Rattus norvegicus: one gene and its partners. The protein of the gene in region 1 binds, or shares a complex with, the protein of each later gene. Links are inferred from orthologs where the notes say so. Each region holds a gene or a part of one and is shown in the gene's direction. Other genes may lie near its edges. The genes, in order: Ep300, Mitf and Nutm1.

Region 1 (3,591 bases):
TTATGAAAGGAGATTTGTGGGTATCCCTAATGAAGAGAGTAGATACATAAGTGATGGTCATGGACTTATTCCGAGGAGTATGTCTGTGAAATAGTGAAAGTTCTGCCTTGTCTTTCAGGCTAAAGCTGAGGATGGTAAAGTAGAACCTACAGAAACAGAGGAGAGAGGCCCTGAGTTAAAGACTGAAGTGAAAGAGGAGGAGGACCAGCCGAGCACCTCTGCTGCACAGTCCTCCCCTGCTCCTGGACAGTCAAAGAAGAAGAGTAAGTAAAGGCTCAGGAGGTCATCCATTTGGTGAAATGCCTTTCCCACAATCCATCAGGATCTGAATTTGTTTGCGACCTATTGTGCAGATGCACCAGATGTGTACACATGTTTAATTCCAGTGCTTGGGAGGCAGGGGCAGAAACATCTGAATTCAAGGCTAGCCGTTTTTACTACATAGCAAATTCCAGGTAGAGCTGAGGTAGACAGTGAGACCCTGTCTTATAGCTGAGCATTGTGGTACACTTGTAATTTGACTACTGGGGAAGTAGAGACAGAAGGATTTCTGGAACCTGCTGGTTAGTTCAGACCCTACTAAGACTCCTTTTTGGCAGGGGTTTGAGAATAGAGGGTTGAGAGAGTTAAGTGCTTAACTACTCGTTTGATTCCCAGCAACCACGTGGTAGGTTATAATTCCCTGTAACTCCAGTTCCAGGATCCAAACACCCACTTTTTTTCCTCAGGCTTTATTTAGCACATAAATTCACGCAAACACACAAACACATAAAATGAAGTATTAAATGTGAAAAACAAGGTTATTAACCTGAACAGAAACACTCCTCTAATGTTGACCCTTGGTCTACAAATACAGAGAGACACAGACATACACACTTGGAAGCCATTCTGGAAAGAGTGTTGACTTCTGCAAATTGTTCTTTGACCTCTACAAATGTGTTTGTGTACAGGTACACAAATGCTTACAGATAAATAAAAATAAAACTCAAAATTTTTAAATTATTGGTCTCTTATTTCTTGAACTCTTCATAGCATGCATTCCATAACAGGACCTTGCTGTGTCCTTATCGTTCTATATCCCACAACCTTACCTCACATATCTTTCTGCAGTGTTGTGCCTGGCATTAAGAGTGCTGCCTTGTACAACCACACCAGTTCAAAGAGGACACTGCTAGCTCTGCTTGGTAGATCCCCCTTTCCACAGACAGCTTTTGGGACTGCCTTTGGTTTCAGTTTTTATTTGGCCAAGTCCATTCTCAATCAACCTGCAGCTGGAAAGTGAGGGATGGGGCAGCTCTGTTGTTTTACAGGAGGAAGTGATATTAGAGTGGGAATTAAAATTCGAAATTGAGCCCTTAGTTTCTCTGAGAACAGTATTATCACTTTTGTGGTCTAGGATACTTCAGGTGCTTTTAGAACTTTTAACATGAATATGTTTTTAATATCCTTTGCTCAGTCAATAATTGATTTCAATGGACTCTCCTTAAAGTTTTCAAACCAGAAGAATTACGGCAGGCTCTGATGCCAACATTGGAGGCACTTTACCGACAGGACCCAGAATCCCTTCCCTTTCGTCAGCCTGTGGACCCGCAGCTTCTAGGAATCCCTGTAAGTATTTGGTATTTTTTAATTTCCTTTTAGGTGGAGAAATGGCTCTATTAACGTAATACATGTTACAGAACTTACCCTGTTTACAGTGTACAAGTTTTAGCATTTTCAACTAAATTGTACAACTATCACCATGGTTTAATGCATTTTCATAACCTCCTCAAATAAACCCTACCTCCATTAAAATCACTAGTTGGAGCACTTTTACTCTTTCCCAGGCCCAGGCTGCCTAATTCCTCTGGATTCTTGTGGTTTGTTTTTCCTCTTCTGGTGTTGAGAATCACACTCAATGTAGAACGAGGGCTTTGCACTGACCCTGGTCAGCAGCACAGACTTTGCGGTTCTCCCGTGTCAGTTGTTACGTGTCAGCCAGTGCTTCGTGTATCGTAACACTCAGTCATGTCGATGCCACTGCATTTTGTGCATGTATTTAATTGGCAAGTATCTGGCTATTTCCAGTTTTGGGCCATTGAGACTGACCTCTGTTAATGTTGGTGTACCAGTACTGCTTTGCTATTTGTTTAGTTGTTGAGAGTGTGTCTCACGTTGTACCCCAAGTTATCCTTGAACTTTTAGGTCCTGCCTTGACTTCATGCACCGATATTACAGGAGTTTGTAAGTTTTTGTGTTACAGATTTATGAATCTCTTTGGTATATTAGAGGTACAGTTGTTGGGTCAACAATTTATTATCACTTGAACAGCTATAGATCATGGTAAAAACATGAGTTCCTTGTTTCTGAAGATTTATTTATATTTCGTGTGTATGGTGTGTGTGTGTGTGTGTGTGTGTGTGTGTGTGTGTGTGTGTGTGTGTGTGTGTGTGTGTGTGTGTGGTTCGTTGGCTAAAAGAAGGTGGTGAATCCCCCTACAACTGGAGTTAAAGATGGTTGTGAGCTATCATGGAGGTGCAGAAAGCGCAACCACTCTAAGAGCAGCGAATGGTTTTAACTGCAGAGCCATTGGTCAGTGACTCTTCCTCTATTTCAATCAAGTTTTTGGTTTTGTTGTTGTTTTTTTGAGACTCGGTTTGTGTTGGGGGTATATATGTATGCCTAGTTGGCCTGAAATTGTCTTCAAATTCATGGTCATCGATCTGCCTGCTTCCCCAAAGTTAGTTTTGAAATGTTTGGAAATTGTATTGCACCCAGATTGCTTGCAGGTTTTATTCAAAGATTTTCATAAGTGTTATTTTGTGGATATGGTATTAGAGTGCTTTTCAGGGGCACAGTTTATTCAGGATATTTTTCCATGTTTTTCTGTTTCCTTACAACACTAATTTTTTAGGATTTGTAGGCCGCCTTCTAGTATTTAATCCTCAAAACCTCTTAATACATTGGTAGATTAGTATTTAAAGAAGTGACAGACTTTGGTCAACTCCTGGGACACATTTCATTGTGTGGAAAATTAATGCTGTTGATAGAAAGACACGCCCTTTCCCCTAAATACCCTGCTCATGAGTATGTGATGTGGTGTTGCTTATACTTCTAGGATTACTTTGATATTGTGAAGAGCCCCATGGATCTTTCTACAATCAAGAGGAAGTTAGATACTGGACAGTATCAAGAGCCCTGGCAATATATAGATGATATTTGGCTTATGTTCAACAATGCTTGGTTATATAACCGTAAAACTTCAAGGGTATACAAATATTGCTCCAAACTTTCTGAAGTATTTGAACAAGAAATTGACCCTGTCATGCAAAGCCTTGGCTACTGCTGTGGCAGAAAGGTAAGAAGCAGCTTTCAGATCTGTCTTTAATTTCTTTCTTTTTTTCGGAGCTGGGGACCGAACCCAGGGCCTTGCGCTTCCTAGGCAAGCGCTCTACCACTGAGCTAAATCCCCAACCCCCTGTCTTTAATTTCTAACCTAGAATCTAATGGTGACTTGGGTTAAACATACCCTGCTTCTGACTTTGACTCTCCCCATCCCTGTTCCTTTTCTCATGTGGCTGGAGGTCAAAACAGATTGTTGAATCACTTTAC
Region 2 (4,233 bases), on another chromosome or scaffold:
CTTCAAGATAGCCGAAAGAAAGCCAAGATTAATAGTCATTGAATAGCTTTTAACAAGTTCTATGCATGTATTATGTGTGTCTGCTGCATGTGCATGTGTGTGGGCACCTGCATTTGTCTGTTAGAAGTTGGCTTTCAGGAGTTAACAGTTCCCTACTTTCGTCACGAGTGTCCTGAGGATCAATTGCAGGTTGTGTTTGCAAATAAACACATTTTACTGGCTGAACCATTTTGCCTGCCCCCAGTGCATATAAATTGCAAGTAATTTTTTTTCTTACTTTTGACCTTGCAACACCATCTCAAACAGGTTTCCTAATCTCTTCTTTCATAGATGAGGAAATTAAGGTTTCTAGGAATGAAACAGACATGTCTAAGATTGCACAGGATTTCCTAGAACAACTGGGGATTTCTACCATCTTAAAATGCCACCCTTAACACCGATATCTCAAAGCATTCGTTGTTGTTTATACACGATGAAGAGTCCTGCTGGAACTAACCAGAAGACAGGTCTGGACATACAAATGAACCAAAGTGCAGCCATTTAATAATCACCTAACCGAGTGCCTCGAAGCTGCACCGGCATGCAATGTTAGGACAATCTCATTTGAACTCCCAGCCAACTGAGAAATTGAAAGCAGACGGTGGTGAGCTGTTTGGTTACTTGGTGCCTTTTAAAATTAACTGAATCTTTCAAGTGCTGCTTTAGATTAGAGGTGACTAATTGGATAAAAGGAAAGAAGCCTTTCAACGGATGAAGAGTATTCTGGGAGCCCAGAAGGAGTTCCAGAAAAGGAAGGCACAAGAACAACTCCTCCAATAACGCTTTCATTATAAAAGTGAAGTTTCCAACACTCTGTTCCAATTGAGGACAAAATGATGTGTCGCTGCAGCCCAGAAGAGCTCGGGGGCGAATAGAAAGCACTTTTATTTTTAAAATGGGCTTTAACTCTGACCGAAACTTTCTAGCGTCAAAACCCCTTAGTGTTTTATTTTTTTGAATGAACGCTCCGAGTGTCTTCGCAGATGTCTAAACCAGGAGGGACAGTAGAAGCCCAGACTGAGTCCGTTCTTATTAATATTAAACAGCCAGGTCTGTATCCTTGAGGCAAACGGGAGAGACACGGAGAGGAGCTGCTGACATTGACAAGGAATCCAAACAGGACTTGCACTATCGGTGTACACCACGTTGCCTCTCCCCGGTTTGGCCTTCTGGGAATTGTAGTTTTGCGGAAGCTGATATCCTGGAGAGCTGGTATGCTGGGCCTGGGCAGAACCACAAATCCCAGAGCGCACCGGGCCCGGCCCCTCCCGCCCTGGTGTGAGAGTAAACTCACCGCGCCGGGGCGGGCAGCGGGCTAGCGGGCTGAGTGGGGCACTGAGCGGGGCGCGCGTCTTGGGGTACCCGAGGCCCTCCCCATCTTTGTCAGGTGCCCGGGTTCTGGTCCAAGTCCCAAGCAGTGGAAGGCGGGCAAGCAGGAGTCATGCAGTCTGAATCGGGAATCGTGGCGGATTTCGAAGTCGGGGAGGAGTTTCACGAAGAACCCAAAACCTATTACGAACTCAAAAGTCAACCTCTGAAGAGCAGGTGAGTGGTGACAGCTGGAGGGAGGCGCGGCAGGAGGCCCAAGGGCCCGGCGCCTGCTACCCTGGGAGGAGAACAGCCAGTCTGGATAGCTCTGGGACAAGGACCCCGTGCCCTTGCTTGGGGTACAGGGCGACCTAGCCCCTGGCATTTAGGGTCCTGCTCACAGATGACTTGCTCGCATCCCAGGTTATCTGACAGTGGCACTCTTGGGACACCGTGAGTCTCTTGGGATGGGTCATCCAGGCTTGGGGACCCTTGACTGCAGATGCCAGCTGCTGAGCTGGATGGGGGCTGGGGCGGTACCCGGCGCGAGGTGGGGTAGGAGGAGCACCGGACAGGGACGGTGATCTGGTGCTACCAGGAGTAATTTTTCTGAAGATCCTAAGCAGGCTGATGGGCTCCGAGAGGGAGAGCCTGGGGTGGATGGAGATCTGATGCTTCAGGGTAGCAATGAACTGGCCTTCCCTTGTAGTCTAGCCCCCCTGGGACATACTACTTAGAGAGACCTCTAAGTGAAGTTCACCTGGCTTTTACCTTCCACCTCCCACAGAACAGCACCCGCGCCCTGGGCGGGAGGTAGTGTGTGTGGGGTGGATGGGGGGTGGGGGGGGAGGTTGCGGGTGGGCGTGTCTCCCCATTCTTCCTTGCAAATGCTAAAGGAAGGGAGGGAGCAATTAAGCTATCTTAGAGGCCTGTGGTGGTTGGGAATGATCTCCTTGGCAGCTACACACATTTAATTCTCCAGGTGCTTCAAGAACTTTGGGCTTGGAGTGAAGATGCTCTCTAGTCTGGTGCCTCCTAACAGTCAGTACCTCTGCAGAATTGTTATCCCTCACACCACCCTTCATTGCTACTTGTCTGGCAGAATTGGTTATAACTCTCCTTGGTCACTCTGGACCCTTGAAGCCCTTTTTATTTGTAATGTTTATGGAGGGAGGGGGTAGTCACTGGAATCTGTGACTTTGTTTCTACCCTTTCGGTTGTGAGATGAAGTAAGGCTAACCCAGGAAGCATCATCACCTCGACTGTCTAGGGTCTGGATGAGTGAGGTCTCCACTTCCTACCTGGCAAAGGGGCGGAGGGCCTCCCTTTCAGGAGCCAGGGAGGCAGAAGTGAGGGGCAGAATCCTTGCTTTGGGAGAGAAGGAAGCTGAGTCTTAACTGCTGGAGAGTGGAGCCAGGTTCCTTTCCTTCGGGGCTGGGGCAGGACCTTGAATCCAGTAATGGGAACAAACTCTGGGAAGAGTTTGCTCTTGCTCGAGCAGGCTTTTTGTACATGCTTGTGGCAGAGTGGAAGGAAATGTGTTAGGCATCAAGATGCATAAACTCAGCCTTTCACTAGTGGCTTCTTTTCATAAAGGCTATTTGTATGTGACCGTAGATGGGGTGTATTGGGTGCTCTGAGTGACACTGTGTAAGGCGTATTGTTGGTTATGCTCACTAGAGCTTTATCTGCATGTGGCTGAAGGGACCAGTGTTTTACTGAGCAGTCCCTGCTTTTGCTTCTATAAGCAAATGCTTACAAGGCCAGAATGAGGGGGAGTGTGTGTGTGTGTGTGTGTGTGTGTGTGTGTGTGTGTGTGTGTTGCTGAAAGAAATGAATTAACTGTGCTGTTCGAATCATTTGGATGGTGGCTGTTACATTAAATGAGTTTTAGGGAGTGAGGAAAGTACCTTTGGGGAAAACCAACGAGTGCCCTGACACTCACGTAGAAGGATTTGGTTCTATTCTTTCTCACAGTCAGCAAGAATGGCACACAAGAGCACGTGTCCTCTGGAGCTAGCTAGCTAGCACAGAAGGAAAAATGTGGGGATGTGGGCATAAACAGCTTCACACGTTAGTACGAGCAGCAGGTGCCAGGTATGCTCTTTGAAATCGACCCATTAAATAAAATCTGTGAATAATTTTCTGGAGAGGGTGACATATTGTTTTTGACCGTTGTCCTAATGATATTACCATTGACATTTGTTGTGTGACTTTAAATGCAGTTCAGGGCCTTCTCATTGCTTGCAATTGAAGTCTACTGGGGAACCCTTAAAGTCCTGGTTGGAAAAAGGTTGTAATGAAAACTTGCAGATTCTCAAAACAAGGACATCCCACTGTATTGTCTCCATCAGCAATTCTCAACCTGCGGGTCGTGACCCCTGTGGGGGCTGTTGTATGACCCTTTCACAGGGGTCGAATATCAGCTATCCTGCATAATCAGATATTTACATTTATGACTCAAGGCAGTAGCAAAATTACAGTTATGAAGTAGCAACAAAAGTAATTTTATGGTTGGGGGTCACCAGAACATGAGGAACTGTATTAAAGGGTTGCAACATTAGGAAGGTCGAGAACCACTGGTATAGATTGTTTCAGGATTCACCCATTTCTTGCCTATTTCTCTGCTCTGACTTTGACCAAGTCAGTGTCAGTTTTTGCCTGAGTTATTGCAGCAATCTCTTAGCTCTCTCAACGTTGGCCCGTTTTAGTACCTTTTAAATTTAGCGCCCAGCGTTCTTATTAAACTGATTTTTTTCTTTTTTAAGGCTGAGACCTGACTCAGTAACTTGTGTGCTTGCCACACGACTGTGAGGACCTGAGTTCTTTTCCAGGAGCCCACATGAAGAAGGCAGGCATGGTGCTTGGCAGTTGTAACCCCAGACC
Region 3 (4,024 bases), on another chromosome or scaffold:
GAAAACTTTATGGTAATCTTAAGGCAGGGGTTGTGCAAGAGACTAAGGTCAGAGAGTCTTAGCTTTCAGCCTAGGCTATATAGCCAGACTGTCTCAAAAATCCAAAAGGAATTGAAGAAGTGGCTCAGTGCTTAAGGATGCTTGACTCTCTTGCAGAGGACCCATTTTAGGTGCCAGCACCCACATGGCAACTCCTAACTGGTTCCAACTCCAGTTCTAGAAGCTCTGACTCCCTCTTCTGGCTTCTGCAGGTTCCAGGCATTAACCCAGCTGCACAGTCATAAATTCAGGCAAACATTCATACACATAAAACAAAACTACATAAACCCTTTAGAAACTATTAAAGATTATTTATTTTTCTTTTTTAAAGGTGAAGGTCTTTAATACCAGTTCTGAGGAGGTCGAGGTGGCCAGATCTTTGTTGAGTTCCTAGCCAGCTAGGGCTGAAGAGTGAGATCCTGTCTCAAAAATAATCAATTAATTAAAATCTTTTTTAATGTAGTAAGTTTTTTCAGCAAGTGGAAAAAAGGCCGTGGCTCCAATGGATTTCAGAACTCTTGTGGCTGGACTGTTTGGGTATTACAGAGAGATTTTTTTTTTCAGAGAGTCCCACTTTGTAGCCCAGACTTTTCTCAAACTCTTACTTCCCAAGTCCTAGGATTACAAGTGTCTGTCGGCTTCTCAGGAAGGTGGCGCTCACCCCACAGCAGTTGAACATTCTGGATCATCTGAGATACTTCAATGTCAAGCATTTAGTTTATAGTTTTTAATCTTCAAGTATACAAACTGTGCACTCTGAATTTGGCTCAGAAAATAGAGTCATCAGCGAAGCAAGCCGAAGGTCCACACCATTCAGTTATTAATGGTAATCCAGTTTCAGAACTGGAGAAAGGGCAGGGCTCGGGATTAGATTGTATCGTTGAAGAATAGAAGAGTAAGAAGCCAACAGTGAAAACTGCAGTGTAATGCTGGGAATCTGAGAGACGATGGACAAACTGTCCTAAAAGAGGACACCCAGCAATCATGCTATCAAATTCACTGAGGGATTTTCTAATTTTTGCTTACTTACTAAAACCCATCGAGTAAAATCTCCCCATTTTCACTACATAATATCCTTTCCCCTCCCCCACTACAGAATGCCTGAGTCCAAGATTCTAATTCTGTTTTGACCCAGTCTTTAGCTTACCTTCCTTGGATATCATCTGTTGGAGCTAGGTCATTGCCTGGATCCTGGACCCAACTGTTTCATCCTGGAGCCATCCAGACCGCCACTGTTGGTGTACCTAAACCCTGGGTTATGGCATCAGATGGATGTAAGACGAGGGGTGCTGGAGTGCGGGGTATCTGCGGTGTCACCTAGGGACAAGTCATAGGTCAACCTATAGGGATTTGAGGAATTAAACCCCACACAGGCATTAGGGAGCCCAGAGAAATAGATCTTTACCATCAAGAATGGGGTAGAGCATCCTTGGAAATGAACCAAAATCTGTCAGAAGTACACACTGAATATTGGGACTGGGAACCAATTACCAGTTTGATTCCCAGGAAGAGGGACCGCTTTAACATGCTTGGGGTGGAAACAGAGGTTTATGTTTTAGTATAAGTGGTGTTGCCATGGTTTCAAGGGAAGAGCCATAATCCGTGTCTTTTGACCTGCTCTAGGACTTCACCATGGGAAGAAGGCAGGGCCAACTCTCTTGATCACTCCAGGAAGGGTGGAGCAGTGGGATTGGGCCAGGCCGATTAATTAGCCTTTCTCAGAAAGCTAAAACTCAGTGGGGTTATTCATTTATGAGCCCGTGAACAGGGCTAGAAATTTTGTAAAAGTTTTTGTTCCCAGAGCGTGATGACTCCTCCTAGCCCCAAGGGTGCTACTTGTCAGTTCAAGCACCAGGCTTTTTTTCTCTTTGTTTTTTCTTTCATTGTAATTTATTATGCATCTGTCTGGAAGTTGGGAAGTCTAGGTTAAGTTTCCATCTAATTAGTGTTCTGGAGAGGGTCTTCCATAGACTTCCGTTTCTGAGCACGTGTGTTCTCTCTGTCTCAGCATTCTGTGAGCCAAATCTGCAGCATCCATTTTACTTTTTAGTTTGAGGCAAGGTCTCGCTAAGTTTCTCAGTCTGCCTTTGGACTCCCTCTGTAACCTAGGCTGACTTTGAACTTGTGATCGTCATCCAGAGTGGTTGTATTTATAGACCTGCATTTTTTTTAGAGGAAAGTTTTTTTTTTAAGATTTATTTTTTAATTTCATGTATGCGGCTACACTGTCGCTGTCTTCAGACACACCAGAAGAAGGCATTGGATGCCCATTACAGATGGTTGTGAGCCACCATGTGGTTGCTGGGAACTGAACTCAGGAACTCTGGAAGAGCAGTCAGTGCTCTTAACCTCTGAGCCATCTCTCCAGCCCCCTGCATTTATTTTTTTAAGTAACTGTATTAATTATTTTGTTTGTTTAGAGGTAGTCTTTCTTGCTTTTCAGATAGAGGAGATAGGCCATCTCAGCGACAGACAGTGAGATGCTTGGTTTTCCTACCTATTGTGGAGCTCAGACCTTAGGAATAGTTTCACTGTGTTCAGAACTTGCTGGTATTAGTCCGATTCTATTTCATATCTCCTTTATGGTTAGTAAGTGGAAGCTGAGTGGTACTGGTTTGTCAGTGGCATACTTTTTTTCTTTTTTTTTAAGAAAAAAGGAGGAAGTATTGAATGAAATTAGGCCAGTTTGTCTCTGTTTTTATCATTAAAAGTCATGCGGGACACGGGCAGGCCTTTTTAATGAAGGGTGCTTATCATCCCCCTCTGCCTGACCAGTGTCCACATAGCTGGTCCCTAGCAGGAGCTAGGTTTCTTTCTTCCTTAGCTCCAGCCCAGCGCTTCTTTGTGATCCCTAAACTTTTACTATTAAGAAGCAGGTCCACAGAAAGTCTGTGCTGCCAAATTTCAACTCATCCATGGTTGAAACTGAAAGTACTGGAAATCTCCCTCCCTCCAAGGTTCTTCTGTCTCTCCACAGTGACATTTCGGGGAACCAAGAATCTAGGCTGACCTTTTTCTGTCCTGGAAATTGTGCTTCTGTGGCTAGTGACAGGAGCCATAGAGCGGTTGGGATCAGGTGGCTTCCCTGTCCTGTGGAGTAGGTAGAGTTAGTAGAGATCCATGCATTTCGAGTGGGACTGTTTTTGGAGAAATGAGCTTCATGAGTCCTGGGGTCATTGAGCCTGTTCATAAACTGCATCTTCTGTTATTTGAGGAGATTATTAGGAGAAAGCGGTACAGGAAAAGGAGGAGAGGGATGGGCCAGTGTTTGTGAAACCACCTCCTTCTCGGGGGTCTCATGAGTGCTTCTCAAGAGCCAGGAATTTCGCCTGCACTCGGCATGCTTGCAGACTGCTTTTCCTATTTCTCATCTTCTTGATCTGCCTATGGAACTGGCAGGGAAGGTCTTCGGGAGTGTTATGAGAGACGCTCTTACAGGCAGGGATGGTGTCTCTTTGAAAGGGAGCAACTTCTCTAGCCTACTAGCTCAGGGGTAAAGGACTACTTGAGAGGCAATTGCAAATATACCCATCCATGTCCCTTCCTTCACATGTTGAGTCATTGCTCTAACCCCCTAGGGACTTAAAGGAAGTCAAATGGCCTAACTTCTTCCTACTCCCTTCTCTTCTTTGTCTCAACAGCCTCTCCATTACCAGGACCAGATATGGCCATGAAACCTGGTACTGGCCTGTCCCCTTTCAGTACACTTCCCTTTGCCCCACCTCCTCCCATTCCACCAGACCAATCCCTCTGGGAGCCATCACCACAGCCCCCTATACCGCCTGTCTTCTCTCCAGGCAATCCTCTGCTCCTTTCTGCTTTCCCCAGCCCATTGTTGGTGACAGGAGAAGGAGGCCCTGGCCCCAGTGTGGCTGGAACTGGCCAGGTCATTGTCAAAGTCAAGACAGATGTGGGGCCAGCTGAGTCCTCTCAAACTCAGAACCTTATAGTTACTCAGACGGCCCTAAACTGGATTCACTCAGGT

What was found.
Region 2: the proteins of Ep300 (region 1) and Mitf are in contact, whole or in part, in an NMR structure (PDB 8E1D), measured with the Homo sapiens proteins. The link is inferred for Rattus norvegicus from reciprocal best matches to the Homo sapiens genes EP300 and MITF. Residues at the interface, in NP_001420.2 of Homo sapiens: Ala1723, Ser1726, Pro1727, Gly1728, Arg1731, Ser1734, Ile1735, Pro1780, Lys1783, Gln1784, Ala1787, Leu1788, Lys1794; in NP_001341533.1 of Homo sapiens: Val226, Ile230, Leu233, Glu234, Ser235, Tyr237, Asn238, Glu239, Glu240, Ile241, Asp246.
Region 3: the proteins of Ep300 (region 1) and Nutm1 are in contact, whole or in part, in an NMR structure (PDB 7XFG), measured with the Homo sapiens proteins. The link is inferred for Rattus norvegicus from reciprocal best matches to the Homo sapiens genes EP300 and NUTM1. Residues at the interface, in NP_001420.2 of Homo sapiens: Arg1731, Ser1734, Ile1735, Arg1737, Ser1757, Lys1760, Met1761, Val1764, Ile1781, Lys1783, Gln1784, Leu1785, Ile1786, Ala1787, Leu1788, Tyr1791, Lys1794; in NP_786883.2 of Homo sapiens: Tyr405, Pro406, Asp407, Pro408, Gly409, Leu410, Leu411, Tyr413, Ile414, Glu416.

What each region holds. Positions count from the first base shown.
Region 1 is NC_086025.1:115,036,285-115,039,875, forward strand, and holds part of Ep300 (histone acetyltransferase p300), read left to right. Parts: intron 1-118; coding exon 119-263; intron 264-1,489; coding exon 1,490-1,608; intron 1,609-3,097; coding exon 3,098-3,337; intron 3,338-3,591. UniProt on the Homo sapiens protein: Functions as a histone acetyltransferase and regulates transcription via chromatin remodeling. Acetylates all four core histones in nucleosomes. Histone acetylation gives an epigenetic tag for transcriptional activation.
Region 2 is NC_086022.1:131,964,392-131,968,624, forward strand, and holds the start of Mitf (microphthalmia-associated transcription factor), read left to right. Parts: upstream 1-1,348; 5' UTR 1,349-1,480; coding exon 1,481-1,584; intron 1,585-4,233. UniProt on the Homo sapiens protein: Transcription factor that acts as a master regulator of melanocyte survival and differentiation as well as melanosome biogenesis.
Region 3 is NC_086021.1:119,515,873-119,519,896, reverse strand, and holds the start of Nutm1 (NUT family member 1), read left to right. Parts: upstream 1-1,187; 5' UTR 1,188-1,297; coding exon 1,298-1,313; intron 1,314-3,680; coding exon 3,681-4,024. UniProt on the Homo sapiens protein: Plays a role in the regulation of proliferation. Regulates TERT expression by modulating SP1 binding to TERT promoter binding sites.